Linked DNA regions of Drosophila melanogaster. The protein of the gene in region 3 interacts with the protein of the main gene of each other region in a pairwise test. Each region holds a gene or a part of one and is shown on either strand. Other genes may lie near its edges.

The links.
Region 1: the proteins of CG12010 (region 3) and Es2 interact in a two-hybrid assay, tested with the Drosophila melanogaster proteins (one large-scale study listed by BioGRID).
Region 2: the proteins of CG12010 (region 3) and Ccdc85 interact in a two-hybrid assay, tested with the Drosophila melanogaster proteins (one large-scale study listed by BioGRID).
Region 4: the proteins of CG12010 (region 3) and CG7856 interact in a two-hybrid assay, tested with the Drosophila melanogaster proteins (one large-scale study listed by BioGRID).

What each region holds. Positions count from the first base shown.
Region 1 is NC_004354.4:8,458,578-8,466,140, reverse strand, and holds Es2 (Es2), read right to left. Parts: upstream 4,663-7,563; 5' UTR 4,571-4,662; coding exon 4,219-4,570; intron 4,077-4,218; coding exon 2,923-4,076; 3' UTR 2,792-2,922; downstream 1-2,791. Other genes in the region: CG33223 (uncharacterized protein), read left to right, coding at 1-383; Sptr (sepiapterin reductase), read left to right, coding at 1,835-2,620; CG15347 (uncharacterized protein), read left to right, coding at 5,318-5,375, 6,759-6,917, 6,972-7,444.
Region 2 is NT_033779.5:2,997,481-3,005,897, reverse strand, and holds the start of Ccdc85 (Ccdc85), read right to left. Parts: upstream 6,613-8,417; 5' UTR 5,897-6,612; intron 1-5,896. Other genes in the region: CG3558 (uncharacterized protein), read right to left, coding at 7,650-8,107, 8,368-8,406.
Region 3 is NT_037436.4:3,372,324-3,380,761, reverse strand, and holds CG12010 (uncharacterized protein), read right to left. Parts: upstream 6,481-8,438; 5' UTR 6,442-6,480; coding exon 5,586-6,441; intron 5,529-5,585; coding exon 4,728-5,528; intron 4,672-4,727; coding exon 4,175-4,671; 3' UTR 4,113-4,174; downstream 1-4,112. Other genes in the region: Ids (iduronate 2-sulfatase), read right to left, coding at 759-898, 966-1,139, 1,191-2,211, 2,274-2,477; CG12012 (uncharacterized protein), read right to left, coding at 3,462-3,763, 3,815-3,881; Ythdc1 (YTH domain containing 1), read left to right, coding at 6,728-6,743, 6,893-7,792, 7,912-8,438.
Region 4 is NT_033778.4:6,055,670-6,063,817, forward strand, and holds CG7856 (uncharacterized protein), read right to left. Parts: upstream 3,890-8,148; 5' UTR 3,767-3,889; coding exon 1,715-3,766; 3' UTR 1,688-1,714; downstream 1-1,687. Other genes in the region: CCHa2-R (CCHamide-2 receptor), read left to right, coding at 7,212-7,528.

The DNA.
Region 1 (7,563 bases), on a different chromosome or scaffold from region 3:
TACTGGAGGATTTGGGGCCCAATAAGTCCACCCTGGATCTCACCTGGAAGCCGGTCGTCCTGACGGCCAATCAGAGCAGCAAGTTAAGCAAGTTCGGCTATGGCAGGATAGACGATAGTGAAGTTATGTTTACACTGATCGGCGGCTACCAGCAACGCGAAGAATATCCTGGTGGCATAGTCAATCCACCGGACGACGAAAGTCAACAAAACTTCAACGCAGGTGACGATGATGATGCACTGGAGGCCCAGGACATGACTGGACACGATTTGTCCTCAATTCAAACCGATGATTTATCGCTCAAAGGCCAGACGGAACCGGAGCTGGATTGCTCCATTGGATCTCATGGATTCTCTGGATCTCAAGAAGAAGGCCAAGAATAACGACAATGTGTAGTAGACTGTTGTAAATTATTTTAAATTAAAAAGATTTAGTCCTCGTTTCAGTCCTCAATCTAAATTTACGATACAAGCATAAATAATAAATCTTTAGTCGATTTTATCCGTTTGCATTTCATTTCCAATTGTTTACACTCAAACAAATAATTAACGATGGCCAATGCCATAACAATTTTTTAAATTTATTAATTATAGACTGCATGGTACGATCTGCTGCGATCGAAATGCTTCTGAAAATGCCAAAAAAAAGGGGAAAAAAAATTAACTCAAAATAATTGTAAACAGTAGTGCGGCAAACGAAAATCAGGGAAAACATTAACAAGCAGTTGTTCCATAAATCCAGGACGCAACTGGATGCGTAGATTTATATGGAAGAGGAGAGTAGGGGGGAGGGTAAACAAATCGATTCACTTGGAGACCCCGTGTGCCAGGTAACATATACTACTACATGCTATATATTGTAGATATACCATCTATATGTATACATATGTATGTACCCACTAATTGGAATGGCCGTGGCTGATGAAAAGCAGACGCACCCGGTTAATCGGGCTGTTTCACTTTGATCGGTCCAGTTTTCTCGGCTTCCCCGGATCTCCATCTCCGCTGGTCCCACATTCCGGGCTCCAATGGCCAACAGACGCCATTTTCGACCGCCCATCTCACTCCCTCTTGTGGCGGAGGTGGTGGCCGCCGCTACACTGAGCGCAAATGCTAATTCAAATTTTGTAAGAAAAATCAATATAAATTTAATGACAATTTGCGAGCTTGAACTTTATAACAAAGTTGCAGAGCTTTCGAGAGAAGATTACTCGAGTTAACTCTTTAAGATGCTGACCTTGACATTGACATTCGATCACACATTATATATATAATATATTAGTTGGGTTCTTTCCAAAAGGACCATAAGTTTTGATATATAGTGTAGTATTATATAGTAGCGGTTAATAAAACATAGGCAATTAATTAAATTAAATCGTTAAGCAAGAGCCGGCGATAACCTTTCGCATCGAGTGAAGCTTAAACCGTGAGAGAAATGTGCGAATCGAGAGCACAAAAAGCGGGGAGAGCGGGAGACATGGGCGGGTATATTGGGGGGCTAAAATTTCCAAAAATAATAATTAATTGTTTCTACAAATACTAATACCTTTAAATGAATAAACGAAATGAATAACCTGGTCATCGCTAAAAGTTTACTATGATACTATTTAATGGGTATCAAAAACTACACTACTTATATTACCCCCTTTTAGAAAGTAGTTTTGCTTACGCTCCTGGTCATAAAAATAAAAGCACCAAGCTTTAGTCAGCTGTGCAAAAGCTGCCGGAGAATCAGGTAAAAGCCAAAGCGAGTTAAGGCAAAAAGACAGCCAACTGTTGCCACTTCAGCGGTGTGGAAATTAGAAAGTAATATAGTCCGTGTTTTTCACGCAATCATGGACCTGAAACAGCGCACATATCTCCTGGTGACCGGTGCATCACGTGGAATTGGCCGTGAGTTCGCCCAGCAGTTAGCCAAACGGATCAAAGCCGAGGGTTCCATGGTGACGCTTCTGGGACGCAATCAAACCCTTTTGCAGGAGTCTAAGGCAGAGATTGTCGCCACAGTGCCAGATCTATCCGTGCAAACCTATTCGCTGGAGCTGGAAACGGCCAAAACGGAGGACTTTACCAAGATTCTGGAGGCATCCGGTGGAAAGAACAATTTCGAGCGAGCCATAGTCATTCATAATGCCGGCACAGTGGGCGATACGTCAAAGAGGGCCAAAGAAATCGGAGATACCGACTTCCTACAGCGCTACTACCACTCCAATGTCTTCTCGGCCATTTCGCTAAACTGCGAGTTTATGCGCGTCTTCAAGGGAATCCCAAAGTTGGTGGTTAATCTCAGCACCTTGGCAGCCATTGCACCTATATCCTCGATGGCACACTATTGCACGGTGAAGGCAGCCCGTGAGATGTACTTCCGAGTGCTGGCCACCGAGGAGTCCGCCGAGGACACCCTGGTGTTGAACTACGCGCCCGGCGTCATAGACACACAGATGACCGTCCAGGTTCAGCGAGAGGCCCACGATCCCGCCGTGGTCGCCATGTTTCGAGAGCAAAGGGAGTCCAAGACCATGCTGACTCCCGCCCAAACGACGGAGCGATTCATCAAAGTCCTGGAAGCATTCAAGTTCAAGTCCGGCGATCATGTGGATTACAGGGATGAGCAGTTCTAGCTAGTTAATCAGTATGTTGCTATCTGTGGTAATGGGGTTTTTCGTATTGAAACATTAAAATGAAACTAAAAATGTGCGCAAGTGTTTTTGCTACAACACCCAATACATCTTAATGAACTTCAAAGCTGATAAGATATGTGTATGATGTTTATGATTTACGCATTCTTAAATCTTCTTTCCAACAACTCGGCATCTATTTATAAGAAATATACAATTCGTAACAACACTGTGGGACTATGTATAGTATTCTCTAATGAAATTAAACATGAATAATGTAGCTGGGTTATGGGTAATGTTATGTACTAAAAGAAATCGGCTGCAGTGCGTCGTTTAGTGGGTATCTTGAGCAGATCGTCCGTGAGCGTGGATCCCGTATCAATGGTAACGTTCTTAGCCGGAGTGCTAATCTTGGCCTGCTGTTTGGGTTTGGGTTCACCCAGTATTGGCGTATTGGTGCTCCTCACCACGCCGGGCGTAACCTTTCGTTTTCTGCCGCTCATCGGCGATGGTGTGTGCCTTAATCGGGGCGTGCCGCGGATACCCAGCTTACCCGTGGCCAGTAGCTGCGCTGCCGGCGACATGCTGGCCAGCCGTTCCATATTGGTGCGTATCAGTGGTGAGCCAATGTTACGACGCGCCGTATCCAGAGCCATTTGTTTTTGATTTCGCATCCTTTCGCTGACCCTTTCGGCCAAAGCGATGGCGATGTTTTCGCGCCGAGAGTTCTCATTAATCCGGAACGAGGGTCCTTGTGTGGGCCGCAATGGGGTATCGCCTCCGTCCAGGCGAAAGGGAGTGCCATCGATCTCACCCCAGGTCATTATGGGCGAGAAAGCCTCTCCGGGTCGCGGTGATGGTGAACGCAACAAATCGAAGCCGCGTACCTTCGGAGTAGCTGTGGCACCACCAGCCCCATTTTGGGGCACTTCATCATTCAGCTTTTTAGTGTCCATTTCGCGATGCTTTGCCTCATCGGGCAGCCTGGTGGCATTGTGTTGGATGCTCTGCTTCCGTTCGGCCAACTGGACGCGCTCCTCCTCTGTGTACTCCACGCCATCGGGCACGTACATAATGGAATTCATGTTGGTGTAGTTCCAGGTTTCGATCTTTCTCAGCGGATCTGGCTCCTCGAATTGCGTTTCTATGCTGGGCAGCATTAGGGCCCGCTGCAGTTGCTCTGCGGAGAGCTTCTCATGGTTGTACAGTACTGCGTATTTTTGGCGCAGCTTGGCCTCGGCCGTTTCGATGATCTCCTGAAAGCTCTGGTTATCCTCGCTGGTGTACTTCTGCAGAAAGGCGTCCAGCGATAGCTTCGCGGTGGTGTCCCTGCCCTCGGCATCGCTCTTCTCGGAGCCGTCCGTGGAAAATGGTGTGTCTGTGGCCCGGGAATTTGGCAATGGGGTGTTGCTACATTTCGCCTGACTCACTGGTGTCTCAAATGTGGCCGGGGACATGGCTGAAATGAAGGAATTCAAAAAGTTAATGGGTCTATCTATTGAACTTGGCCAATGTATAATTTCATCAGACTTGATTTCAAGTAAGATAGTAGCAGACAGCGATGTGCCAGTGGTGTTCATCCAATTGAGTACAATACCCACCATTATTCCGTCGGCTGGTGCTTCTTCCTGTCCCGGAAATCCTGCCCAGACTGTAGCGCTCCCGAATCTCGGCCATTTGTACAAAGTCGCGCCGTGACTCCGCGTCCAGGTAGTCGTTTTGGGCACGCAGCCGCTCCAGATCGGGAAAGAAGTCGCGCTGGATGATCTTAGACATCTCCTCGATGTACTTCTCCTCGGTAAGGATCTTTGGCTTGTTCTTGTGGCGCACCATCGCCGTGGGCTTTTTAAACTCGGCGAGTGCTGAATTCTGGACGCGGGCCACTTCCATGGCCAGGCTGCCGGGAGTGCCAGGTGTCCCCGGTGTGGCAGGTGTTCTAGTCGTGGCGCTCATTGCCGTTTATATCTCGCTTTTTTCGTAAATAACTTTGTTTTGTTTAGATATAAAAAGTGAATATTTTTGTCTGCCAGCAAAGTGTGACCGTTTTAAGTTTCACTCAGAATAACAAAACGTCGGTTCAAAATATTTCCCTGTATTTTTTTTTAATTCTCGGATGTAAAAGGTGAAATTAATCAGCTTAAAAGTTTCGACTTCCTTTACAATAAATTGGTGAGTATGAACCAATTTAAATTTAAATAGAAACAAAATGATATTTTGCTAAACTATATTAATTAAAAACTCTGGCAAGGAGTACTTATCGACGTGTTATCGATAAGTGTGGAACGCATTCAAATGCGCGCTAGCATTTGAATTGAAATTTTAATGCGATTAGCTAGCACTTGAAAATGAAATTTATTACGATTTTGCAAACATTAAAGATATATTTTTAAAACATCTGGAAGTTTCGCAAGTGCGCTGACTAACCCGCTGAACATAATTTATGAAAATGAATGTATGCCAAAGAGCGACAACTTTAGCGTCGTGAATCATTTCAAAACACTTTTTTTTCTCAACTCACCAATAGAATTACTGTTGTCGTGGTGCCTTATCGTAAAGCTGTAGGTATATATGAATAGGGTATAAAGCTCGGCAAAACTCAAATCACTCATTGAACCTTTTCTACTCCCTTAGTTCTGGTTCAGCTCCGTAACCAGTCGCAACATTCGATCGTCGTGAAATTAGTTACATCAGTTATCAGCCATGAAGTTTTACCTGTTGGTGATTGCAGCCCTCTCGTTTTTGGCCTACATCAGTTGTGGTAAATGTTGTACCTGCCTAAATGTTGTTCCAAAATAAGTTTCACTTTTAATTTTCATCGGGATCGTATTTTTTTTTTTTTAATTTTCTTTTTGCTCTTTGAATTGAAAAACTTATTGAGTGTTTTATATAAGGTGTGATAAGCGGTGATATCATGGACACGGAAATAAATTCATGATAAGCTATCAATAGGCGAGTTTCCAAAGAAACTTTTAAAGGTTCTTAGCTTTGTAACTGGGCAAACATATTCTTTTTTTTCTAAGTGTGAGTGAGCCAGCAAAAAGATGTGAAAATTGTACGCCATATATTTAAACCATGTGTACATACAGCTGTGTTCAAAAAAATAGCAGTGCAAGAGAAACTAAGAAATGCGACGGTTTTTTTTTCATGTTTCGGGATCGAATTTTTATTCCACTTATTTTTGTGAATTGGAATGTGTAGATAGGGAAAAAAAGAAAATGTCGTTAGTTTTCTATGCTATCCTTTTTTTTATTTACATTCTTGAGCAAAATCACAACTTTTAGGCTGTTCAACAGAATAGCAGTGTCTGGTTTTGACCAACGTAAACTCCCGAAATGATCAATATTTTCTAAAAAGTGAGTTTGAATTTGAATTTGAATTTGTATATTTAAAAGGGCAATAAATTAAAAAAATAAAAAATAAAGAAACGCAGAAGCAAATCGGCTAAGAATAAGTTCGTTCTAAGTCAAGTTGAATTTTGTTACTATTTTTTCATAGCACTGCTATTTCTGCTTGTTTTAATCTATATTTTCGAAACTATTAAAAAAATGAATGTGAAACATTTGTTGAATTGTTTAAAATTAAATACCTAATGATATTATAAAAAAAATTTTCCCATTAAAACTTGAAATCTTAAGATTTTTTTATTTTAAACTCAAGCACTGCTATTTTTATGAACACAGCTGTATGTCAGCGGTAATTTAATTTCTCTTTGTGATGAAGTACATAGTTATTCCGTTTCATTATTAAAGTTGAAACATAATCTCGTACATTCGTACTTTCATGTAAACACTTGGTAAATATTTAATATTTACTGCCACCTGATATGCTAAATATAATTTGCTTGCAAGCTTTCGATTTATAGCCAATGTAAATTGACTCTTCTTATCAAAAACATACAAGTTTGCTGATTCACTTGTCATGGGCATGTTCGTAAGAATCGATTGTGGAAAATCGAGACAATTGCCATCCGAGTACAGTGCGCGTCATTGTAATAAGGCATGCAGGTAGATACATAAAAAGAAATAATCAAACACATTCAAACACATATGCACTGTGGTAGGTAGGCAGACTTTGCACGAAATCAATATGATGTCATTATGCCAACGCAACGATTACGAAAAACTTGATCTAATCTAATCAGGCATGACTCAATCGAAACGCTCCGTTCCACTCGCTCAATTTGCAGATGGATGCATCCAGTGCAATTCGAAGGACAACGAACGCTGCGCCACAGATCCATTGAGCCTGCTCAATCGCAACTGTTCCGATGGATCCTCCAACTGCTATTCCCGCGTCCTGGGTATGTTATCGCATTGATTACCCTGGCTGCACCATCTAATGGTATCTTTCGCAGATGGCTACACAATTCGCGGCTGTGCCGTCGATCTGGACAACGCCACGCGTAATTCGTGCAACAACGAGCTACTGTGCCAGCTGTGCACCTACAGCGAGGGATGCAATCGAAACACCTTCCCGTTGAGCCGCCTCATGTGCCTACAGTGCACAGGGAACTCGACCTCGTCGTCCTGCGCCACAGAGACCTATGTATCGGCCAAGATCTGCCCGCTGTACAAGTTCGGCGACAAGTGCTACATTCGCAATAGCAATCGCACCGTGGACGGATCCTTCCAGCGCGGCTGTCTCACCTCGGCGAATGCCAGGAAGCAGTGCGTCAAGGATGGCAACTGTTATACGTGCGAGGGACGCGGCTGCAACTTTCTGCTGGCCAATGATACCAACATTCCGCTGGCACGCGACAGCGGTGCCCAGTTGATCATCTCCATGACGCTGCTGATCAGCGGTCTTGTCGCCGCCTGGAGACTCTAAGATGTAACGACGGCCAGAGTCGAATGATGGACGAAAGTCAATCATGCCACAGACCCAGTTCTTTTAGAAATTCCCGTCTTATTATTTTCTACATTCTAAAACATCATTATACATACATA
Region 2 (8,417 bases), on a different chromosome or scaffold from region 3:
AATCAATATAAATCACAGTCACACATTGATTTATACCTATAAAAGGTTATCTGGTACCATCTTCAACTTTTCCCAGTCATAAAAGGCACAGAAAGGAACTGGATCAAACTGTGAATGGGAACAGGGACTATTCATCATATTCCTATGCCATGGGATTACGAAACCCGAGATGATAATTTATGAGGGCCCTAAAATGTCCTCGACTTTCTCGCCCTTCCGCCCAACTGGGCCTACCTCACGTACAAAAGACGTGAAAATAGGTGAATAGGACGTGAGAAGGGCGGTGTGGAAACAATAAAGAGGCCCGAAAACAAAGCATTATGTAAGCATTAGCACGCTTTAACCTCCCGCACGTCTAGTTAAACATAAAAATAATACAAAAAACAAAGACCGGAGCGTGAAGAAACCATAAAGAACTACGAAGTCCGACAAACCCAGAGCAATAACAATTAGCGACAGCGAGAAAAGCTGCGCGCATGCGCAATAAATGCCTAAAGAACCAATTTCCCCCGACCCCACGGGCCCCTCCAATTAAATTTCTATTAATTTTGTACCAATCATAAGGCCCGGGCAATGCCATAAAAAGCGGAAACCATTAAAATGACTCTGAGATTCTCACTCGACTGATCGAGTGAAAAGGAAGGGGCGCGGTAGGAATTCTATTTCCTTTCTTGGGCACAAAAGCCGCTTAGTGCCGCACTTCTTTTGTCTGCGCCAGCGCAACAAACTTCCGGATTGAACGATCTATTGAAAGACCCGGGACCAGGAAGGAAGCCACTTGGTGGGCTTAGCCCAAAGAGAGCGAGAGATTCTGGAAAGGTACTGGAAAGGGAAGTGGAAGTGTTACACATCGGAGGTGAAACTGCGTTTCAGCTTTTCCACGCTGAATTTATGAACTAATTAAAAGACAGTTCCTATCGGGCGGCGATGAAAAGGGCAATATTTGGAGTAACCCAACACCAGTGCGGTATGTGCACTGGGAAAAACTATAACGTTATGTATTGAAAACCAACCAACTGAGTTCAATAAATACATGGCAACAATTCAGTTGGTAGACGGAGAATTGAAAAAACGCAAGAGCTGCAATATCAGATCAAATTTCCCCCAGTGTTCCTTTTGGTCACTGAGCCATGTCGATCTGCTGTCTTCTGCTCCTCGCAACAGCTGGGCAAGAGGTGAGGTGACCAGTGGTTTGTCGGTTGGTCGGTTGGTCGGTTGGTCCACCGTTGGAGGCTGCTCTTGTTTATAAATCAAGTCACATTAAGTGTAATAATAAACGCAGATCGAGGCGAACTTGAGCCGGTTCTTGGGTTCAGCGTCGATTGGGTTGGGGCTATATTAAGGCTGTTCTGCGGCTGGTGGCGAATTGAATAAGTCATAACAAGAGAGAATGCTATAGTCAAGTTCACCGACTATCGGATACCCGGTACCCAGCTAGTGAAAGTACCTGTTACATACATTTTATCGAATCTAAAATAGCCTCCTACTTACTCTACGAGTAATGGGTATCAAAAGGGGAGGGTGGTGGCGCAAGGTGGGAATTAATAAAAATCTGGCCAAATTGTGGCAGCGCGTTCTTCTCCGCTTCGATAATTATGGAGACCAGAGCAAGCGAAAAGAGAGAGGCTTCGGCGGAGCTGGGGAAATGTCAAAACGTACGCTTCATTGCCGTCGCCTGTCTGCTGTCTTCTGTCTTTTGGCTTCAGTCTTCAGCTCAGTTCACAGTCTTCTGGTCTCTACTAACGATAACGACAACAAAATGCTGATGGCACAAATTATAGTCAAGCAAGAAAGAAAAACGGAGCCGGAGTTGGAGTTGGAGTAGAAGTTGGAGCTGCAGTTTGGAGCTTGGAGTTGGAAAGAGCCGCGGCTGAAGACCGGCAGGCCGGCAGTAGAAAGCAGAAAGCTAGCCAGAAAGCCTCCGTCTTTCGGTCCCCAGTCCCCCAAGCCCGCTTTGTCTCGAGCCCCACAATTTCCGCCATTTATGACAGTCACAAATCGAGTTACACTCACATACCCACCGCCTCGACTTTGTCTATAGCTATAACCATAGCTTTGACTTTGGCTTCAGCCTCAGCTCCAGCCCCAACTTCAGATTGAGCCTCTCCTCCAGACCGCCGCGTACTTTCTAATTTCTAGGCGCACTTTTTCACTCGATGCTCTGCCGCCTGGCTGCCGTTTTTGATGTTTAATACCCTAGAAAATGGAGGGGCACACGAAACTACTCTATACATTTGCACAATATTGTAACTTCAATATGTACTTTAATTTGTGTAACATAGCATTTAAGTTCCATACTTAAAAATTATCTTCAAACAAGATGTTTCTTTCGAAATAGGCTAACTAAATACTTCCTATTATAGTGTATGCCACATTCGTCATCTGTGGTTTGCATTTATTTACCAATATGTTTGTTGTCACTGCTTTCTGTTGAGCAAACAAGTTTTTTGGTATTTTTTTTTATTATTATTGTTCATCTCTTGGGTCTCCGCCAAGTGTTAATGTTCATTTGTGCATGCGATATTCACCAAATTGCATGCAATAGAAATTTGTTGTCGAGGTCGCACCGCTCCGCCAAACGAGCATCAAAACAGACCCAATGCCGCCACTCGGTTCCGTTGATACCACGGATGCCCCAGTCCCCCAGCCCAGATCTCGAGCCCCAATCCGCAATCCCCACTGTAACCATAACCATTCACAATGCCAAAACGGCAGCAGCGGCGGAAAAAAACGACGCTTTTGGAGGAGGTTTTTTTGGTAGCTAAGTGATGGGAGGTCAAATCAGTTACAGTTACGTGAGGCTGTTTTGGGCCAACAGGAGAACGTTTTGGCCAGAAGCAGAGCGAATTGAAAGTAAAGAAGGGGCCTCCTAATGAATCCCAAGTGGAGCACCCCTCAAAGCGGATTCCATGCGATTGGAGGCCATTTGATGATCTCATGGCAGTTCCAATCGACTGGTCTCATTTACATTCCTTCGGCATTTATGTCGAATGGGATCATTGCCAATTACAATGATATGTGTAGAACCCATCTGGCATATCTTTTTTGGTCGTAGAGGAAATAGATTAGAATTCTTATCATTGCATCTTTTACCTAATTATAACTTACTGGTTTATTACAGGAATTCTATAATGATCATGTTCCATAAAGAAGACTTGCACTTATCATTTGCGGTCTTTTTTATCTGATTTACATGCTCAAAACATGATATGTCGATCTATAGATCACTTATCATACATTTCAACCGGTTCCGTTTCGATCATTTCTGGAATTTATAGCATCCCGAGACGAGACTTGTTTTTTTATATTAGAGCATTCTGATACAGTTATTCCAAATCAATTTTCCCGGCGAATGCTTAGAATATTTTTTTAGATTTCCGTAATTTAGTGGAGCTGCTAGCTGCTCGAGACGCCCCCTTGTGCTTCCTCGTGGGCCGGAGCCACATGCTCATGACCGTTTGTCATTTCCAGAGGCGCGCCAATTGCCAGAGTGGCCTGCCAAGTATTTCTGCGCACTCTGTGTGAGAAAATGTGGCCAAACGGTTAATAACAGGGGAGTAGGTTGGCCAAAAGGGGGTTTCCTCCAGGCGACCGCAGAAACGGCAGCAAGAGTCAACATGACCGAGCCTAAAAGAAAAGTCACAGTTGCGCTCAAACGAATAGCACCAAAAATGTCACTCAAAGATAATATAAGTCTTATATAGCATATTATATTCTGATCTCTTATTAAATAATCTTGGCGTTTATATAATTTTTGGGATATATGTATGATATACGATTTTGTGAGACGTGTTTATCCACAGATCGCAAAGCGAAGCATTTAAACTAACCTACTTCTAGCATTTCCACCGCCACTATAAGCATGCAAGTATGTGACCATGTGGAGGAGATTCCAGCTATGGCTGCCGGGACAGGAAACTTAAACTAGTTCTAGTTCGAGTAGCTGGCTTCTAGCCGTTCCACAAACTGGGACACTTGTTGCGCCAACTTGGACACTCGATGGCTGGATGACTTGGCTTGGTCTGCCCTGGCTTGGCTCGCAAGCAATCAAACCTGCAGCCCCAAGATGACAAACAGACGAGGCTTCCCACGCATCAGTCACTCCCATGCCGCCCCTGCCACTCCCACGCATCCGATGGCCGAGTCCCGAAGGCCCGGAAAAGAGAAGCCAGGCTAAATTGTCTTAATGGACCATGAAGAGGAGCCCGCGGAGACGTAGAGATCCAAAAGATCATTATACTCCAAAGAGATTCTGCAGATGGCGGCAGGCGCGCGTAAATCTCGAAACCGCCCAATTAAACAGAAAGATATACGTATATGGATGGGTGCTTATAGGAATATAAAGAGCAGGGCGACACACAAAACAAAATCACCGGCGAGGAGGACAGACAACGAAAGAGTGAACGGAGGACCGGCGGCGATGTTGGCGTGGATAAGCCCAAAAGAAAGTTTTCTTTCATTGACAAAAATTTCTTACTCGACTGCGCTGTCTTTTATTTGCCGCCGCGTACAACGAACTTGGCCTCAGTTGCCCACGGGCGCGGATCTTAACCCATTAAGATGCCGGGCCAAGTCAGGAGGAGATTCTTGTGGATACTTTAGAAAAGCCTCATGACCGCAAAAAGATTCCAACTCGGATGAAGGCTTAAAGAAATGAGTAATATTAAACATTCAACTTAGACCCCTAAGGAAACATACTTTTTGTCCGAGAAGTAATAGTGTTAATAATTGTATTAATATTAATTACTATTTACATTTTGCCAATTCAAACGATGCCTGACTGTTGCATTGTTTGTGGTATGTGGCCAAGCAGTTTTCCCAACTACACCATCCCGCCTTTCCATTTAACCCATGGACAATGCATTTGCATTTCTTGGCCGATTTCTCCCTTTCGCGTTAATGGGTTAATGCTGCTGCTGCTGTTGCCTGGCATTAGTTACAGTTTTCCGATACACGAAATTGACTTTACATATTTCAGGCAGCGGGCGATGTAACAGGTTGTTCGGCGCCATCTCTTTCGCTCTTGCGGGCATTTCGTTTCGAAACGGTGGCGTCGCTGCTTTTACCTGTTGCATGCGGCGTGGTTGTTGCTGTTGCTATTGCAACTGCTGCAGCAACAACAAAAGCAACGGCGATGCTGCAGCGTGGTCGGTTTTCGCTGCTGGTTTTGTTTGATCTTGTGTCTTATTGTTGCGCGTTGTCGTGTATCTTTCTGCCTGTTATTTGTTGCTTTCCTCGGATGCGATACTATCGCCATCGCTCCTGCTGCCTCTCCTTCTCACTCACACCAGCAAGCAACTGTTGAATTTATTGGCGCATATAAATGCCTCAAAATTGATGTTATTGTCGTCCGATATTCCCTTTCTTGCCCCCTTGCCGCCTCGCTGGCTCGTTCCTTTGTTTTTGTCCTGCTTGTTTTGAAAATTGATTTTTACTCGGACTTTTATGGCCGTAGTGGCCGAGCGATAAGTGGAGGAAAAACCCGCCTTCGTTTGCGCACCGTGGAGGGAAAAGACAAAAGACCAGAGACAAAAGAAGAACAAATGGGCAAGGTGGGCGTAGCGCTGACAAAGTGGGCGTTCCCGAGGAGAATAGAGCAATTTTCTGGATCGAAGGGAAAAGAGGGGGCAATGAGTTAATTTTCCGTGGGCCGAGGCCCATGGATTTTTAGTCGACTGACGTGGGCTTGGTACACGTAAAAAAGTATTGATTCAATGTTTTTTCAATAGCTGAAGAGCCTGAATTGAACTTTTTGTGAGTGAGTTATCATGTATGTTATTCAAATAGTTCCTTGCACTGTACATTAATTGTGTGGAGAAACGTGGGCAGGGAAAATGGCAACTTAGGCCAAGGCAACTGCAGTTGCTGCAATTGCCAATCTAACAGCAAAACTCACCTTTTATTTTTTTTTATTCCAATCCGATCGCGCGCTCTCTCTATGTTTCTCTATCTATCTCTGTTTCTCGCTCCTTCTCTCCTTTCAAAACAAATCACAAATATTTGCGCATGCGCGACTGCGCATTCCAGGGATACAGATACACACAGACACACACAATACACTGGCACACAGGGGCACTCGATTCCGCCGTTTGTTTTGCGGCTAATTGTTTATACAGCGTAGATTATTCTTCGCACTGGATGTATTTGTTCATCCGGCTATTTTCGTTTGTTTTTGCTCCGCACGAGCAAATTTGCAGCGCACACGCAGCCGAGAATTCGCGCAATCGCTTTTTCCTGTATGTATCTTTTATTGGCCACAGTTCGCGAGTTTTCATGCCCTTTTCGAGAGCCAAAAAGACGCGTCGCCTGCTGCGTTTCGCGAACTATTTTCGGTTGGCTAGAATCCCGTAAAGGCGGTTTCAGCCGGTGTTCCCCTTGCACTTAACAAACACTCAAGCGGCACTCGCAACTAAAGAACAAAAAGTTTGCGAAAATGCGGGCGGTGTGATTAGTCGCCAACACGAATGTATCGAGTGCAGGGCGGGGAAAAGTATAACATAATTTATGCGATATTTAACAATAAAATAAACACAACGCAATAATTCAGCCGGCGATGCGCACTTTTACGTTTTTTGAACGGCAAACGATCGCAACGATCGCAGTTTTGTGACTGAAAGCGACCGATTTCTAGAGATGCGTTCAACCATCCACAGTGCTGTCGACTATCGATTGTTTGTGTTCGACTAAGATATCGGAGTGGAATGTGTTTGGTTTAAAGTGTGGGCATAAATCGATCAATCGATCAACTTCTATTTTAGTACATATTCAAATTCAAACTCTTCCGTTAACGATCTAAACGGAAATTTATCTTGCCTGCTTCTTTTAATAAGTATAATCTTGAATATATTGGCTTGAAGTTTTCATAAGAAACACTTTTATTTAAAAACATTTTGGCTAAATTTCAGCGCCTAAATTATCATCGTATTTCGCCGCCACACCCCAAAGGCAGTTCTCCCAATGGCCCTCAAACCTAAACTGTGTTTCCGATGCAGGCAGCTCCTCCAGCTTCAGCTGACTTGCGCAGAATGAACTGTGCGTTTACGTGTCGCACCAGAAGAAGGTATACCCAGTGAGTCCCTTTGACTCCTCTGGTGGTTGCCATGTTATAAAATTGGCTCTCACGTTAAACCTGAAATCCTAAGCTAATAATAAGAATAACTAAATCTTCTTGGCTGTGCATTTACTTGGACCAATTTAATACTTTCAAGTTGGCTTTACATAACTTGTGTAATTTGATCTTGCATACATAAAAGCATAAAATATATTGCAAAAATACATATGTATACATGGTATGTGTGTTATATAATTCTCTCTATAAACGTTGTAAATTTTGCGTACGGCTGGTAATTAGAATATTTGTTTACATCTGAACACTTAAGATCCACCGTCCCGATTCACTTAAAACATTTAACCTAAATCTATTTGTTTAACGCGTTGAGTGTTTCTCTTTTTTTTTTTTAGTTGAGTCCGTGTGCATTAACTTGTAAATCTGTTCAAAACTGCATTGTTCGTTAAAAGTTGTTTTTTAAAATATAAATATCGAAAATTTAACAGGTAAAAAGAATAATTTCGTAAGAGTAGCTGGTTAAAACAAACAAGGGCTAACAAATCCGTAAAATATGTATACACAAGCTTTCCGTTCCAAGCGATCATAAAGACCCCTGCTCCGTGACCAGCACAACGCTCTGCTCCTGCGCAATGGCAGCCAGCTCCTTAAGCCACTCGTCCATGAGCACAGCACATAGGGCCAGATCGCGTGATCGCTCGGTGCCACTTGTGCTGGCGATGATTCCCATGGAGGCCACCGAGTCCAGGGACGCCGGCTCCGAGTTGAAACCACCCGTCGACGGGCCGCCATCCAGACCGTGCAGAGTGCTCGCCGAGTGGGTGGTTGTGTTCGACTGGGCGGAGAGCGTTAGGGTGGAACCTGCGATGCTGCTGTTGCTTCCCGATGCCGCTGTTGACGTCGCGTTGGCTCCTGTGCGTGATGCTCCCGCTGGGGGCTGCGTACTCAAGCTGGTCTCGCATGTGCCTGCGGACGTCTGAGCTTGTGATATGCCTCTTCCATCGTTGCTGGCATTATTCCCCACCAGATTCGAGGCAGCTCCTAAAAACGTATGCGAGGATTAGCAACAGCACATGATATTGACATTTTGGGTTAATTAAAAAACAACAATAACCACATGTATATATGGGATTCCACAAATGTTTTCTATATTCTACTATTAACTATTTTTTTAGTGGAAAGCATAATGTACAAAGCTCTACGAAAATAAAGATACTACGCACAAATATTAACAAGACTATGCCATATTGGGTTAGGTTTGATTAAAACTTTAAATATTTTATCAAGCGTGAAATATTTACCGGTGAAGAATGCGTAAATTTGTGATAAGCCAGATGAAGCTAAGATTTGT
Region 3 (8,438 bases):
ACAGGAAAAAACCAGTGGTTACGATGTGCTATTTCTGTCTTTTTAACAAGTAACAAGAATGCAATTATTTCTTGCCTGCTTCTAGGCGCTTTTTAAAAAGTGCATATAACAAGAAGTATCTTACCATGCTATCTATCTCAGCAAGCCTTTCATCTGTACCTGTAGATGTATCTGTAAATTTGGTAAAGACAGTAAATAGTTTGCAAGAGAATTTCTTTCTGTGCTCTGCTTTTCACTGGCATGGCAACAAACCGAAGAGAAAATGAAAGCTCGAAAAAGAGTCGCCAACGTAGCCCCCTCTCCTCTCCCCATCCTCTCCCGATTTGGGCGTCGACGGCGCTGCCGACGCCAACGCAGCGAGACGCGCGCCGCCAACGTTGAATGAAATTTCATTCATTTCATTCACAAAAATCCACAAAAACGAAGCCAAAAAGGCAATGGACACCAGTCACGCATGCGCGGCTCGCAGTGGATCGGATTGTATATTGTGCATATATAGATTGGTTGGGCGGCTCGGGGGGATTTGGGGGTGAGGCGGTCCCCAAGGCGGGGGCATCGCAGAAATTACAGCGAAAAATATGCAGCATGTCTGGGCGTCTCGCGGCTTGCAAACGTTGTTGCCCAACCGGAAGTATTAAATTCCAATTATGGCGACAAGATATTTCGCCGTCTCGAGATCGTTTGTCGCGCTGCCTTTATTGCTTATGAATTCATTCAAAATCAGAGGGATTCGAAGGGGAAGGGACAGCCGATCTCCACTAGCTGCCCACCATCTCCATCAATCGCCGGCGAAGGCGCTGACGCACATCATCGAACTGCGGCAGGGGCATCAGGTTCAATTCCTCGCCCGAATCCAGGCGGTGGTCGTACAACTCCTCGCCATACACATCGTGCCAATCTGAAGGGAGTTATATTTAATATATAATTAATATGGTTATTAATTGAATCTATTGATATTCTCTTACCTCTGCTAAAGTTTTGCGCATGGAACCTCACCCACATGGTATACCTATATATATCGGTTCTGAGACTATAGCCCATGATTTTTATATTCCTTAACTTCGGCTTGTCGCTGTTCGGGTGCTTTGTGGGCAGCATTCCTGGTCTTGGGTACTGACTGAGAGCCACGTGCTCATCCGCTGGAAGTGATTGCATTAAATACATTATATATCACATACAAAGCAACTTACCCCTTCCCAATCCCATCAGCTGATGGTAAAGACTTTTTCCCTCGCCACAGGTCAACTCCTGAGAGCTCTGGCATTTGTCCAATTTGGGTAATCCTGCCAGATCCACCAAAGTGGGGAAAACATCAAGGAGTTCTGTGATCCCGTGATAGTACTTCGTTTGGGCGACAGGGAACTGTGGACTTCTTATGATCAGTGGAACCCTGAGCGCCACCTCGAAGTTGCTGTACTTGGCCCACTCGGCGTGCTCACCCAGAGACCAGCCATGATCCCCCAGAGCGACCACCACCGTCTCATCCAGATCCAATCCCCCAATCAACTTGCCAAACAGATCATCCACATAGGACACCGAGGCGTAGTAGCTCTGTCGTATCTGAGCAGCCTGGAGTGGGGATATCGGTCCGTAGGGAAAGGATATGTTGGAGTGCTTGAAGTCATCCCTGGCCCGCACATCTGTGTAAGGATTCCAGGCCACTGCCGGCATATCCGGCGGCTTCAGGCTATCCTCCGTGTAATTGTAAAACTGGGAAAGGTTGAATCTCGAAAGGAATTGCCGTGGGAACCGGAAATTAATGTGCGGCTTGTGGAAGCCCATGGCCAGAAAAAATGGTTCCTGGCTGTGCCTGCTCCGTGAGCCCACAAAGCGCAATGCCTCCGCCACGGACTCGATGTCCGGCAGCGTTTTGTACGGCTGAGTTTGTAGCTCCACTGGACAGATGAGATTCTTCCGCAGAATGCCCTCCTTATCGGGACACACTGGCGAGTTCATAAACTGCTCGGTTCGGGGACGAAATGCTGGAGCCGACCAACTAAGGGGATAGTCATCCGTGTTGTTGGATGAGAGGCCAGGATGGAAGACCTTTCCACAGCTATAGGTGTAATATCCGTGCTCCTTGAAGTACTGCGGCAAAGTGGTGAAATTTCCGGTGAAAGTGCGCCAGTAACTGTAGAAATCGTACAGATGCAGAGTATCCGGTCTTCGACCCGTGAGCAGCGAATTCCGGCTGGGTGCACACAGGGATTGCTAAAGATTCAATATATATGTGTTTTATTAGGTCCGCACATCAATGATCACAGGCTGCCCACCTGGCTGTAAACTCTTGTAAAGATGTGACTTCCTCTAGCAAAGTTATCCAAATACGGCGTGCTGGCCAGCGTATCGCCATAAGCTCCAATAACTGGACGCAGATCATCAAAGATCACCATCACCACATTCGGCCGTCGTGGCGGAGCAGCTGCGTCCAGCAGCACTGGCATCATCAGCGAGAGCAGGAGACGAGCAGTGATCATGTCTACGGCGAAGGAAGCTCACAACTGTTGACTCGAAGATGCCGACACGGCGGATGTGGATGCCGGCGAATTTGTTGTGCTACCCTGTGCCCATGAAATCTGATAAGGGGGTATATCAGCGGCTCATACATTTGGTTTTATAAAAATTTTGAAAATCAAGTAATCTATATATATTCAAAAATTCAAATATCTAAAATATGGCGTTTTGAAGGGTTTTTCTTTTAATCTCCTGATGCATTTGAAGGGTATATTTATGTCATTCCCAAATTCATTTAAAACACTTCACTTGTTTACTGTTTTGCGCGGTAAAGTCCAAAGAGCATGGAGAAGAGAAATCGGACGGGCGGCGCAATTCAAAACCGCCCTCCATTATATTTCAATTGAATTTAACGGAAGCGCGCCTCGTCGACGCTTACAGTGCACATTTTACAAGTACAGTAAAAGTTCTATAATCACGAAATGCAACAGTGGGTCAAATTATTCACAAATCAAGAACTAATGAAGTTTTGTACAACCTAGTTCATATCTAAAACCGTCCAAGTCATTATATCTGCGTACCATTACTCTAAGATATAATAAACATGTTGTAAACCTTTTATTTAAATATATAAATATTTTTTCTTTTGTTTGCAGTTTAAAACTTATGTTACTTAAAATCCTTGTAAAAAGCCAAATCACTATTCAATTGGAAAACATGTTCAACTGATTTTTTTTAGCATTTTTTTCATAACTGGGCTTACTGATTTGAATTCGAGTTTAGCATATTTCACTGTACATGACCATTCTCCGGACAGGGACTGGAATGGAATCGGGGGCATTCCGCAGGCTGGCATGAATAATATTTACACATAGTATATAATGATTTGCGAGCTAACGATTAACAATAACAAAAATATTGGTGCTTTGTGATAGTCACCCACCGCGAAAGCCTAATAGGGATCAACTTTTAGCGTTTCTTTATGGATAATTTCTGGGTAATCCCCTCTAGAAAACCGTTCCGCAGTTGGAACAGCGCTTCTCACGCATGGCCAAGCAACAGAGAATTCCCAGCGGGAAGAAGAAGATTGCGCAGCACAGTCCGCAGGCGGAGAAGGTGTCCTCCAGGTATCCAATCCGACATGCAGGGCATCCTCCAATCACGATGATCTCGGTGGGCATAGCGACCGGAGCAGGCTGAATCACCACGCTGACCGGCGTCGTCTCGAAAGCTCCGTAGGTTGGCATGTGCATGTTTGGTGGCGGAGCACTAGGTGCTCCCTGATGCACGCCCACTATCAGCCGGGAATCTAAAAAAGATGTGCATTGAATTGGATGCCTTTAGTGAGCCTATTACTTACCCTGCGAGGGACTGTTCATGACTTCTTCGTAGCTCGGCGGCGCGGCGTCTTTACGGGTATCTGCCATTGTGGCCGGAAAGCTTTTTTTTGTGACTCACTGCTTCTTGTTATGAAAATAGTCTAGGCTTTTTTACTACGTTTAATTGCGTTAACTTTTTCTCTGCGTTTTCTTTGTTTTGCCGCAATCAGTTATCGTTGCAACAGCTGACTGCGACTATTCTATCGATTGGTAATCGTGGTCGCGGGAGTACATATCGTAAATCAGTAGTTTGAATTTGAGCAAAGAATTCTACGATTTAACATCTTAAAATACATTTATTTATGCAAAACTAACAAATGCAACTGCACATACATCTTGTTCTATAAGAACCTATAAGCAAACTTATAGTAGCCATCTATTTGGCTTTGAGTGAGCGAGGATTTCTGCTTGGTCAGAACTTTTTCAAAGTCTTGTAGCTCAATTTCCGTGGCCTTAAAGTCACGTTGAAAAGCCTCGATAGCCGCCTCATTGCAGAGATTACACAGATCCGCTCCAGAATACCGGTCTGTTCGGGCAGCAATCTCCTGGAGAAACACATTTTCATGGAAAGGCATGCGCTGGGAGTGGAGTTTTAGCAGAGCCAGGCGGGATTTCTCATCTGGGGCTGGTACATGGATAAGCTTGTCAAAGCGTCCTGGTCGCAGTAGGGCATCATCGATCATATCCGGTCGATTGGTGGCTGCAACGACAAGTATATGTTGCTGACTACCACCCCCCACAATGCCATTCATTTCGGTCAACAGCGTGGAGAGAATCCTCAGCTGAACTTGTCCACCACCTCCGCCACTTGAGACCGTCCTTCTGCCAACAAGCGAATCTATAAAATTAAGTGGATTAATCATTTTTATGGCAAATTAAGCTTATCCGACTCACCTATCTCATCTAGAAATATAAGACAGGGTGCATTTTTTCGCGCTGTGTCAAAGATTCGCGATATAAATCTTTCCGCGCAACCGACGTAGGGAGAGTACACCTCCGCCGCCGACGTAGCAATGAAGGTCATGTCAGCTTCCTTGGCCAGGCACTTGGCTACGGTGGTCTTGGCACATCCTGGAGGTCCATAGAGCAGCACTCCTTTGGGCAAACTTAGTCCGAATCGAGCAAAAGCGGCACTTTGTCTTATACCCGCTAGAACGGAGACTTGCAAGGTACGTTTCAGTGCTTCCATGCCTCCGATAACCTCAAACCCAGCCGTCATCTTCGAGACCCGCACATCTGTGGATCGAGATGCACTCGGTTGAGTTTGTGACAGGGATTTGAGGAAAATGTGCTCTATGTCGAAGTCGTCTTTTGTTAAGAGTTGCTGTTGAACGCGGCGCAGGAGTAGTGTTAAATCCGCTATCACATATCCCTGAGTGTTTCTCGCTATATGCTCGAGTAAAGTCTGTGAGATATTCAGCTCGTGTACTTCGCAGAGATGCTCTACGAGTTGTCTGCGCTGCCCTTCGCTGGGCATATTAATGGTCACCTCTCGGACGAACCGCCTGCGCGCATGTTCATGCAAGGAGTCCGGGACACCAGAAGTTGCCAGACATATGATGCCTCGAGGAAGTGCGTCTAGCAGTTTGTAGAGCTCAGCTGAAATTCGTAGGCTATTGCTAGAGTTTTTTGCATCTGCGACAGCCGTTGAGGGGCAGAGCAGCTCCAGATCCTCAATGAGGATTACAATTGGCACTATAAATATAAAACTAATTAATATTTCAAACGTAAAACAAACACTGTGAAAATTACATAATGGACGTAGTTTCTCCTTGAAAGTCTGAGCAGCCTGAAAGATCCTCCTCAACTCCTCTTCGGTTTCGCCGGGATATGAGCGCAGCACCTGGCTGGCTGTAATGTAAAAACAGTTGCAGCTATGACGACGCAGGAACTCACTGAGTAGACCACTTTTTCCACAGTCCACCGGACCCACAACCAATGCTGTAGTAGGAAATCTATGCGAAAAGCTGATTTTAGAGGTTTCCAGGAGCTTCTCCAACTGCTCCATGGGTCGCTCGAAGCTGTGTGGCAAATACTTGAAGATAAAATCTAAAGAAAAGGGCATTCCCAGGCGTATGTCCGCCAGGAGTAGCTCAGCATCGTGGGCTATTTCAAAACACTCGTCATCAGCAACTCCTGGAGCATCGAATATCTCCACACTGGCAATGCCCAGCTGCACAAGGCGTCTGTGCTGCACGGAGCATCCTTTGGTAAGCTTCAGGTGGCGCAGGAAGATTCGCACATCGTCCTTCAGATCCTCCAGGGAAACCGGAGGTCGCTGAAGGAGCTCCTGGGTGACTGTAATCACGCATGAAATCCTCTTCACGCAGGGAACTAATTTAAGTGGCTCCAGAAGCACCAACCGCTGATTGGTGGGGGAGAACCGCGTCAAGGAGGTTACAATTCCATCAAGGAAGCAACAAGTTTCACTGCCTGCACGCGGAGTTACCCAACAAACTGCGTAGCTGCCATCGCAAAGGTGACAACGGTACCATCCAGTTCCAGTAGAGTTCTCCCACGCGGGTATATAACATCTCTGTGGCTCTAGATCGCTGTCGTCCAGCAAGGAAAGCGGAAAAGTCGGGAAATCCGACTGATTGTGGTGCATTTTGTTTACCTCGCTTCGTTAGGAACGATAACATAACCGATTGCAGTGCATTTTCAGCTATTTCTAGCTACCTTTTTCAGCTGCATCCGCCTATCGATAGTGGTCCGATAGTCGCGGCCTGCAGACATATAGCCGCACTCTTCTGACGCCATCGCCAATTCGTCGCCGCTGTGACGCAGAATTTGTGTGTAAGCATTGTAAAATTGGCGTAATTTCGCGATATTAAAGGGATATATTGCGTTAAAAGTGAACAAAAAGTGGCGCTAGACCGGTGTCCACACAATTAATGCCAAGAGCAGCCCGTGAGTTTGGGAATACCTGTATTTCCCTGACCTTTTCTTACCTTGCCGATCGATCGGCTTTTTTCTCTATATATTTTTCTTGGTTTGCGTGTGTGCGTGTGCGTGGGTGCTCCATTCATCTGGTACTCCGATTTCCGATTTCGGAGCAGGTAAACAAACGCTGCCGATGCGCGAGATGGCGGACTTGGATGCAGTGCACCTGGGCCTCGACGAGAACGAGGCGGACATTGCCGAGGAGCTGCAAGACTTTGAGTTCAACACAAGGAGTGAGGCTTCCGAATCGAATGGTGGAGACTCATCCGACTCGGAGCCGAGCATCAGCTCCGTCAGCACTGCCACATCTTCCCTGGCGGGCAGTAGCAAGCGGAAAACCAAGAAGCCTGCCAAGCAAAGCCCTCAACCCGCTGTCGAGACCAAATCCTCCAAATCTTCCGCCAAGAACAAAGCCAAACGGGAACCCACTCCCGAGGAGCTAAATGGTGGGAAGAAAAAGAAGCGCACGGATAGCGGGACGAAGAAAACAACCTCATCTGAGGCGTCGGATAAGGTCAAATCCAAATCCCCGGATACCGAGGATCGACAGCCGTCCGCCAAGAAGTCGCGCACCAAGATACCCTCCAATGCCAACGATTCTGCTGGCCACAAGAGCGATCTCAGCGAGGCTGAGGACGAGAAACCAAGCCTTCCAACTTTGGAGTCCGACAGCGAGTCCTCTGACTCGGATTCGGGCACTCAGCACAAGAGAAACGGAGGAAATGGTGGCGGCAACGGCCGGGGCAAACCCAGTTCCAAGAGCTCCACGCCGGAAAAAGATTCTGTCGGTGGCGGTACGCACTCACATTCGCAGAAGGGCTACGACTACATGACCAAGCTGAACTACCTATTCCGAGACACACGGTTCTTCCTCATCAAGTCGAACAATAGCGACAACGTCCAGCTGTCTAAGAACAAGAGTGTGTGGGCCACGCTGCCGCAGAACGACGCCAATCTTAACCAGGCTTTCAAGGAGGCCAGAAACGTCCTGCTCATTTTCTCGGTCAACGAGAGTGGTAGGTTCAAGGAGTAAACAATGTTTCTCATTTCTTATACTTTCTTAGTTTCTTAAGAATAAGATACATACAATGTCTATGTCTTCAAAACCTCTATTATAATCCGATTTTGCTTTTAGGTAAATTTGCAGGATTCGCCCGGATGGCAGCCCCCTCACGGCGGGACATTCCTCAGGTGGCCTGGGTATTGCCGCCTAGTATTTCGCCCAAGGCACTGGGCGGCGTCATCGAGCTTGACTGGATCTGCCGCAAGGAATTGTCTTTCAACGCCACCCTGCACCTGCACAACACCTGGAACGAGGGCAAGCCGGTGAAGATCGGTCGCGATGGCCAGGAGATTGAGCCCAAGATTGGCGGCGAGCTGTGTCGTCTCTTTCCCGAGGATGAACAAATCGAACTCACTCCCATACTCAAGAAATCCAAGGAGACGGCTCGAGTTATGCGAGAAAAAGGTATACACGTGATCTACAAGCCGCCCAGGAGTCTATCCTCGCGTGGCCATGGAGGGGGAGGTCGTGGCGGAGGCAGAGGATCAAATCACGACCACCTGGGCCCGATGCGGCACAAGAGGAGCTACCACGGAGCACCACACCATCGGCCGTACCGTCACCATCATGGCATGGGCCTTCCGCCGGGCGGTGGCTTT
Region 4 (8,148 bases), on a different chromosome or scaffold from region 3:
CCCCATTGTGTGGAATAGCTTTATTTCCATCACGTGTAGCTAAATGTGGTTGCTTCGCCGAAACTTACTAGCCGGCATTTTTTCTCTTCTGTTGGAATTTAATTTATTTTGGGCTGATCAAAAGTGACTTAAGCTAAGTGACTTAGGCTAAGCCACAAACCGCAACCGGCTGTCTAACTGCTCAAATGACAAAACAGCTTTTGAATGGGGGGGAAATAAAAATGAAAGCTACATGTTTATATTAGATAAAACACTCTAAAGTACTCGACCGAAATCGTAATACAAATTGATATACATATTTTGTATAAACTTAGGTGCTACTATGATCTTGATAGAATAGAAAGACATGCTCGCATCCAACTTGAATAACCCGTGAGACTTTTATAGTAAAAATTACCTGATCGCAATTGACACTTTCTGCTGCAGTTAGCTACTAGACCTTGCCCAGTCCAATAATTAAGAATTCATATTCTAACAGCCAAAACGTCTTGTCAAAGTACACATAAATACTCATAGATACTGCCGAATATGTAAGGAAAACACTGAAGATGATTAAGTAAGATTCCGCATCTGAGCAATGATCGCTACCGTCATCATGGCCATTAGAAGATCTGACATTAAGCAACGCAATTTCCCATAAACAGTATACCGTAAACAACTCGGGGCACGGACATGGATGTCTGGGCGAGAAAGCAAATATTTACAAAACACTGCATTCTGATCGGGCTGAGTCCTGGCCAAATGGCTGGCGTGGACCACATGAAATCAATTAAAATATTTAGCCAACTGCTTCCAGCACATAAAAATGCGTTGAGGGGGGAACGTGGACCTGATAATAAAAAGTAATTGAAAGTGGCCGCGAGATGCGACCATAAAAACTGTGTTTTCGCCGCGTGGCAACATGTAGATATGTACGTATAAATACGTATTGATATATCTAGAGAGGGCTGAAAGCATGAACTGCTGACTTCGGGAAATAACAGCGATAATTGAAAATTATCCAAATAATAAAAGTAGGCCCCTGTTTATTTCGGAACCAATCACGCGCCAAGGGAAACCAAAACAAAGTAAATGCAAAACGCTTCAATCAGAACGCGCCCAGTGAATCGTGGACGGGAGATTCTGATTCTCGAGGGAGCACTGTTGGCACTGCTGCCACAGCTGTCCATCACATTGTCGATGGAATGCTCACTAGTCCCCAACGAAAGTGAAAATTAATTAAAATACTGAACGGTTTGGGTTTCTCGCCCGTTCTTTCCTCTATGAAAGTGCCAGTCCGCATATTTTTGGTTTTCCTTATTTCCATGGTGAAGCCAGCTGAGCTGAGAGCGCGGAATCCAAATATTTGCCAAATAATTAATCATGCCACTTTGCGGCCCAAAATCTCTGACAGATCAGCGCGAAACGCCTTCGTCAGTACCAGTCCCCCCACGCCAAGCCAGCCTGCCTGCAAGCCACTGATAAAGACGCGCGGGATGCTTAGCGCCCATGTCTCGTTGACTGATGGCCGCACCAGGCCCACGATTCGTTTTGAATATCTCGCAAAACGTGGTGCAGGTGGGAGCCGGGCCACTGCTTTTGCACTGAGAGTTTAGTGCGCCGATTGGTCATCACTTCTAAATTAGCCTAATCAATTTTCACCCACGCAGCTGTTCCTGCCGCATATCCACTCCCAAAACGGACTGCTGCTCATAAATCAGTTTATTTTCGCCAGTCAGCGAGCCTTTGAAGGCGTAAGAGTTTCGCGGGTGGGCATGTACAAGAACTCGCTGTCCGTCCAGAAATCCACCAGTGAACGCTGTTGCGGCCGGGCGTCCAGGTGCGCGAAGCACGTGGCGAAGAGCTGGCCCTGCCTGACGTGACGCATATGCCCGGCCGCCACCTCCGACATGAATTTGTCCACCGAGGAATCCTGACCACGGCTCCCACGCTCCGGCACCGCTCGTAGGCGCAGCGTGTGCGTCTCGGTGGTGTTCACGTCGACGAGCACGGTGGAGGTGGCCTGCCGGTTGTAGACACTACGGTTTGGCACGTTGTCCACAAAAACGTCGAAGTGGTCTACGCTGTCAAGGTCATGGGTGATCCAATGCAACGACAGCGAGCCTCCGCTCAGCCTGCACGCTCCACAGATGCTCACCGGGTAACTGAGACGCGCTGATGGAGGACGTCGTTTTCCATGCAGATCGGACTGAGCCTGTCGGCGCACTTCTGACGCTACGCATAGGTCCATGAAGAAGTTCTTGGCCAGTAGCTTCGCCTCTAGCCGCTTCTGTCCCTCGGGAGATTTGAAAAAGTCGGACCTCTTGACCGCCCGACGCATGTCCTGGCAATGGTGGCAATTGCAATCCTTTTGGTATGTCTCGCACTTGGAGGAGGCATCCTCGACACCGGCACTACTTTCTTCAGGCTGACTGTTCCCCGCCTCCTCAGGGCTGACCAGAGCGAAGGCGTACTCTACATTGTCGGGGGTGTCCTCGCTCTTTTGAAGGGGGCTCTCTAAGGCGTTTGCCCGAGAACCTCGACTTCGGCTTCTGGGTGAACTCCGGCGGTAGCTCTTTCTTGATAGGTTTGATCGGGCGGTGGTTTCTTTCCTGGACTTGGGCGCTTTAGCCAAGTCCGCTCTTGAATTAGAGGTGGCCGAGATTTTGGCAGTTACGTTGGGTAATGGACTTTGCTTCCGCCTCAGGCTCGATTTGCTCGATCGCCGTGATCCCTCAGAAGAGTTAGGCCCAGATGAACTAACCATTGCAAATATGGGTTCCATTGCAGGTGCTGACTGCTTATTTCGAGGTGACATCTTGGGCGACTTTCTGGGTGAACTAGAGCGCGAGGTCTTAAGTTTCTGGCGAAAAGATTTGCTGCTAAAGCGATTTCTGGAAGTAGGACGTCCTTGTGTGTCCGCTATCTTCTCCTGATCGGTAGAAATCTTCGAGGGACTGTTGTCGAATCCGCTTCCCAAAGGATTCTCCGACGAGCTCGCCAAATTGCATGTCACACTGTTCAATGCGGTGTTTGCGGAAGTGTCTGTTCGGTAGTCAGCCTCCTCAGTGAGACCCACTGGCGTGTAGCCAGTCAAAGGGGTGATGTCAGAGAGGAGGTTGGAAAGGTCGTAGTTCGTGTTATTGAATGAGCAGTTGGAGAAATGTGAGGTGGGCGTTATCTGGGAGGTGCTGGGCACAGTAGTGCGGGTGGGCGAGTCCGTCAGAAGCGTATCATTGGACTTGCTCATATAGGGATTTTCCTCATCTACCGCCTGGGAGCAGGAGGATGTCAACGAACGCTTGGAATTTGGCACAGAACCGCTGCGTTTGATGAACTTGTGAAAGAGATGTTTTACAGATGTGAAGGACTCTCCTGCCCTGACAAGGCCCACTGTGTTCTTAAGGAACATCCTGATCGAGGTGGAGGTCGAATCGAAGTTAACTGTATCACGAGAGTTTGAGGATCCACCTTGAAGCAAGGCACTGCTGTCCAGGGCTGCCGTATCTTCGGTTACTGACAACCTCGCCGCGGAGTGCTCCTTATTTCGTTGGTTAAGGGAACTGTTGCTGGTCGTGCTGGTGTTGTTCCGCTGACCCGAGGTAAGCGAGCTTTGGCTGCTCTCCGGGTTGACAACCACGAACACTGGCGGTGCGGGTTGCGTCCGAGCGCTTGATCCACTTTTAATGGAACTTTTGAGTGTGCGGCTGGGCATCGGGTTCCTCCTGCTGCCTGACGGAGCCGCAGGTATTTCGTCGGGCAACATGATGCTCACCCTCTTGGACATACTTATAATTTACGGAAGAGAGATTTGTGGTATCTTCTACGATTGCGAAATAAGTGTATCTATCGAAATATTAAGTGTGTAGGCTTTTCCCAAACTGCCAACTGACGCCAAGGCAACTTTACCTACCCTGTTGTCACCAGGAGTGTGCCCCTTTTATACAATGCAAAAGCGGGGCTCGCATTCAATCATCTTTAATGACGACTAATGGCTGGACCCGCGGGCGAGGTCAGGATGTCCATCCATGACTTGACTTTGTCGCCGGAAGTTGGTAGCCGAGAGACTGGCCCGCGATTGCGCATAATTTTGTCAATGTTCGGAGCATTCGGTGGGCGGGGCAAATTTGCATAACTCGCGGACCTTTCAGCTCGCATTAAATATGGCCAAGGCTAGCGTACGGGGTCCTCAAGGCCCCCTAGTTATATTTGACTCTAATTAGAGCTGCAGGGGAAATAATGAGTTGGCGTTGAGCGTTGGGTCGTGCCGTCGTGATAGGCCGTGAATTTAACAGAGTTTGAGGTGCACCTTTAAGCTCGCTTTTCTTTGAGGCTTATTATTCGGCTTGGCTGCTCATAAAAGAAGCAAATGATTAACCGACACGCCGCATTGCACATACGCCTCGTCGCCAGAGCTACAACCAGGGCACGCAAGTGTATTAAATTATTTTTGCTTTATGATTTATCTAACACGAAATACAACGGAACGCCATACCCTGTCTCTCTGGGCTACGTTTCGTTTCCAAAATCAAAAGCTCTTGCACAAGTCAAAAAAAGGAGAATCGCATTTTTTTCTCACCTTTATTTGTATATTGAGTCACTGTGCTGTAGAAGCAGTAATACATCGCTGGTGATAACATATAATATCTGGCTTTGCCTTTTGCTAAGCGGTTGCTCGCAACGGGGCATCCAAGACATCCCCTGCTCGGAACTGACTGCGGGTGGCAAATGCTTATTTCACCCGTGTCCCGACATTTGAAATTGCTTAACGGCTGGTTTTTATCTAGCACATACCAAATTCAGCTCGTACAACAACGCTAAATCATGAAAAAATGTTATTCCTAGGCCAAATGGCTGCCTCAGATGCGTTTTACAGTCACATCGCCGAATTTTAATACAAATAAAAAAAACTCTAATGGAATAAACGAAGGTCAAATAAAAAATATTGTGTATAATTGATTGAGGTCAATTGACGACATTAAGGCGCGTGTCTGGTCAGTCAAGTTTAATCATTTCTCTTGTTGATGGCTGTTGCCTGCCCAGTGATCCCATGGGATGGCCTCTTAAATGAAATGGCTTGTCTACGGCTAGGACTAAGCGGAAAATTTAACTTTTCCGCTTTCGCTCGTGAAAAACCTATCCAAAAGTTTGATACAGGAAAGAAAAAGTTTCCTGATTTAGAAAAAAGACTGACATATTCTTTGTTGTTGCCAGCAGCTATTTGACGTTTTCGGACTCTTTTTTTAGTTGACTCGCGAAGTGCATTTATAGTGGACAAGATGAATAAGTCAAGAAAAGAGCAGATTTTACCTTTAAGCCAAAACAGTTGATCTTTCAAAACCTAACCCTTTTAAATATGTTAAGTTGAGCGGGTGATAAAATTAAAAGGTTAAGACCCCAACGATTAAATGTGCTTAACCATGTGTTACAATTTTTCTACTCCAATTCTCCCCAAGACATGTGTTAAGACTTTTGAGCCTGGGCAAGAGTTCTATTTGCCGAAAATTACCCATGCCTCGGCAAAAGAGATTGGCATCGGCAAGGCCACGGATAAAACGCAATACACAACCTGAAAAGAAGATGGCGCCGATAAGTCGAAGCTTAGATACCCTTGCAATAAACACAAATATGTGTATTTAAAGCAAGAGAGAACGCTGTAGTCGACTTCCTCGACTATCAGATATCCGTTACTCAGACAGTAGGAATGGTCCTGCTGGCTAAATCATAACTTTCTAGCTTTTTTTATCCCGAGATCACAGCGTTCATATGGACGGAAAATGGAACATGGGACGATATGTGTATAATCATAACATTATATGTTATATGATTTATATGTTTCCAATTTACTACGTTGTAAACTTCTGACAGAGTACCCTCTGCAATATATGGTGCAATATATGCATGACCTCCGGTCATAGCTGATGCATTATTTAGATTCAAATTAATTTTGCGGATTCAGCATGTGCAAGGTGATTTCCCGTAAATAAGTGATTTAATGTCGCTCGAATGCACCACCTCGTCAGCAGCTGAAGCGCCTGACTCCACAAAGCTCCCGGGAATGCACTTTCACTTAGCCTGGTTGATTAGATTTTCCAGAAATAGTCTCACGAGCTGAAACTTGATGGAATTTCATTTGGCGAATGGGCTCCCATTCCGCACGCACTCGTAGGCCACAATCAAAATAAATAAATAACGAAAAAGAAATCAATGGCAGCTCACCAAAAGGCAACGATAGCTAGTATCGAATCGAAGCGAAATTGAAACAGCATCGGGACAACACCCTCGCAAGCTGACAGCAGCCCAGATAAACCCGCCTTAGAGTCTGTCTTAGTCGGGCGTCAGGCTCAGCGCTGCTTTCTTTTTAGGGGATAAACGCATTTGATTGCGACTTGAAAGTATTGGCTTCCGCACGAATGTTTTCGTATTAGTGGGATTGCGGGTCTAGAAACGGCAACTGAGCGTGAAAGATAATCACTGTCGAAGGGTAGGAGGGAGGGCCACAAATAATTGGATGTTTGAAAGACTCTGATTGCCGCACAGCAGATAGTGGCCGGGGGAATATTTCGAAATTTATGATTATTGGCGTTGTAAATTCGTGTTAAATGCACACATGGTCAGCGATTGCATGTTAAGGAGATTCTTTATTATGCCGATACGCACTTAGGCTTTACACGATGTACACGACACGGTTCAGCCTCAGATGCCGAGTCATAAATTCTTTTTACCCACCCCGTTACACACGCTGCGTATGCGTGTTATTTATGCGCTTCATAGGTAATGCATTTGCCTGCGTAGATAAGCCGCAGCGCAGCGTGTGCTTTACGAACAGGCAAATGCACACCGATTACAGTTTAACTGAATTAGTCTGAACTGACGGAACCACTCTCTCTCTCTCTCTTTTCTCTTCCTATCTCACTTTCTCCCCTAACAGCTTCCGGCGCCAACTGTCGAAAGTCATGCAGAAGCTGACGGGCAACCGCCCCAGCGAGCTCAGTGGTCACGGCCAAACACAATGTGCAAAATAAAACAAGAGCCCGTGGGAACACCAGTAGCAACATCATCGACATAAGCACGGAGGACCAGGCAGAACCGGCAGCTTTCGGCTCTCGGCTTTCGACGGACGGACGGCAGCAGACCCACGGAAACGGAAGTGGGCAAAGCGAGGCCATAAAACGCCACGCATAGAAACACCATTGAGACATCTTGCCCAGGAGCAGCTCCCTCCTCCCCACATGTACGCCTCCTTGATGGACGTTGGCCAGACGTTGGCAGCCAGGCTGGCGGATAGCGACGGCAACGGGGCCAATGACAGCGGACTCCTGGCAACCGGACAAGGTCTGGAGCAGGAGCAGGAGGGTCTGGCACTGGATATGGGCCACAATGCCAGCGCCGACGGCGGAATAGTACCGTATGTGCCCGTGCTGGACCGCCCGGAGACGTACATTGTCACCGTGCTGTACACGCTCATCTTCATTGTGGGAGTTTTGGGCAACGGCACGCTGGTCATCATCTTCTTTCGCCACCGCTCCATGCGCAACATACCCAACACGTAAGTGGATATATCACGCACTGTGGGGGTCCCGCAGAAGGTGGGGAAGTAGGCAGGGGGCCCTGGAATAACATCTATTGAAGGTCTTCCGCTTTGATACAGGCAGTTTCTTGGGGACCGCCCTCTCCGGGCCATAAATAATAATGTCTTTATATTATACGGTCGCACATTTGGACCTAAAATGAGCTCGTCACTTCGCGAAAGAGAGTGGGAGTTGCTACTCAAAATTCATGGACAGCCTTATAGGCCACATTTGATTTTATTGTTTCAGTACAAATAACATCGTAGCCCGAAGAGTGAATTAATAAAAGGTTTTTAACTCCTCGAAGCAAACAGCGAATATGATGACAAGCCATCTGTTGTCTGCGATTTCCGACAATAAACTAACATTTCCTGCGAAAAATAAAAACATTATCTGGTTTTTCCTTTGGATCCGAAGATAGTCAGCTAGCTCATCTCGATTAACATGTTGAAAGTCCTCGTGTTCGTAAACATTCGAAAACTTAGAAAAAGTTCTGCCCCTACGCAATGTGGTCTTACAAGCCGGATTCCAGATTCATCTTTGACCATTTACAAGCTGTATTCTGTCCCACTTTTATTGTTTTCTATTTTTGACAAGA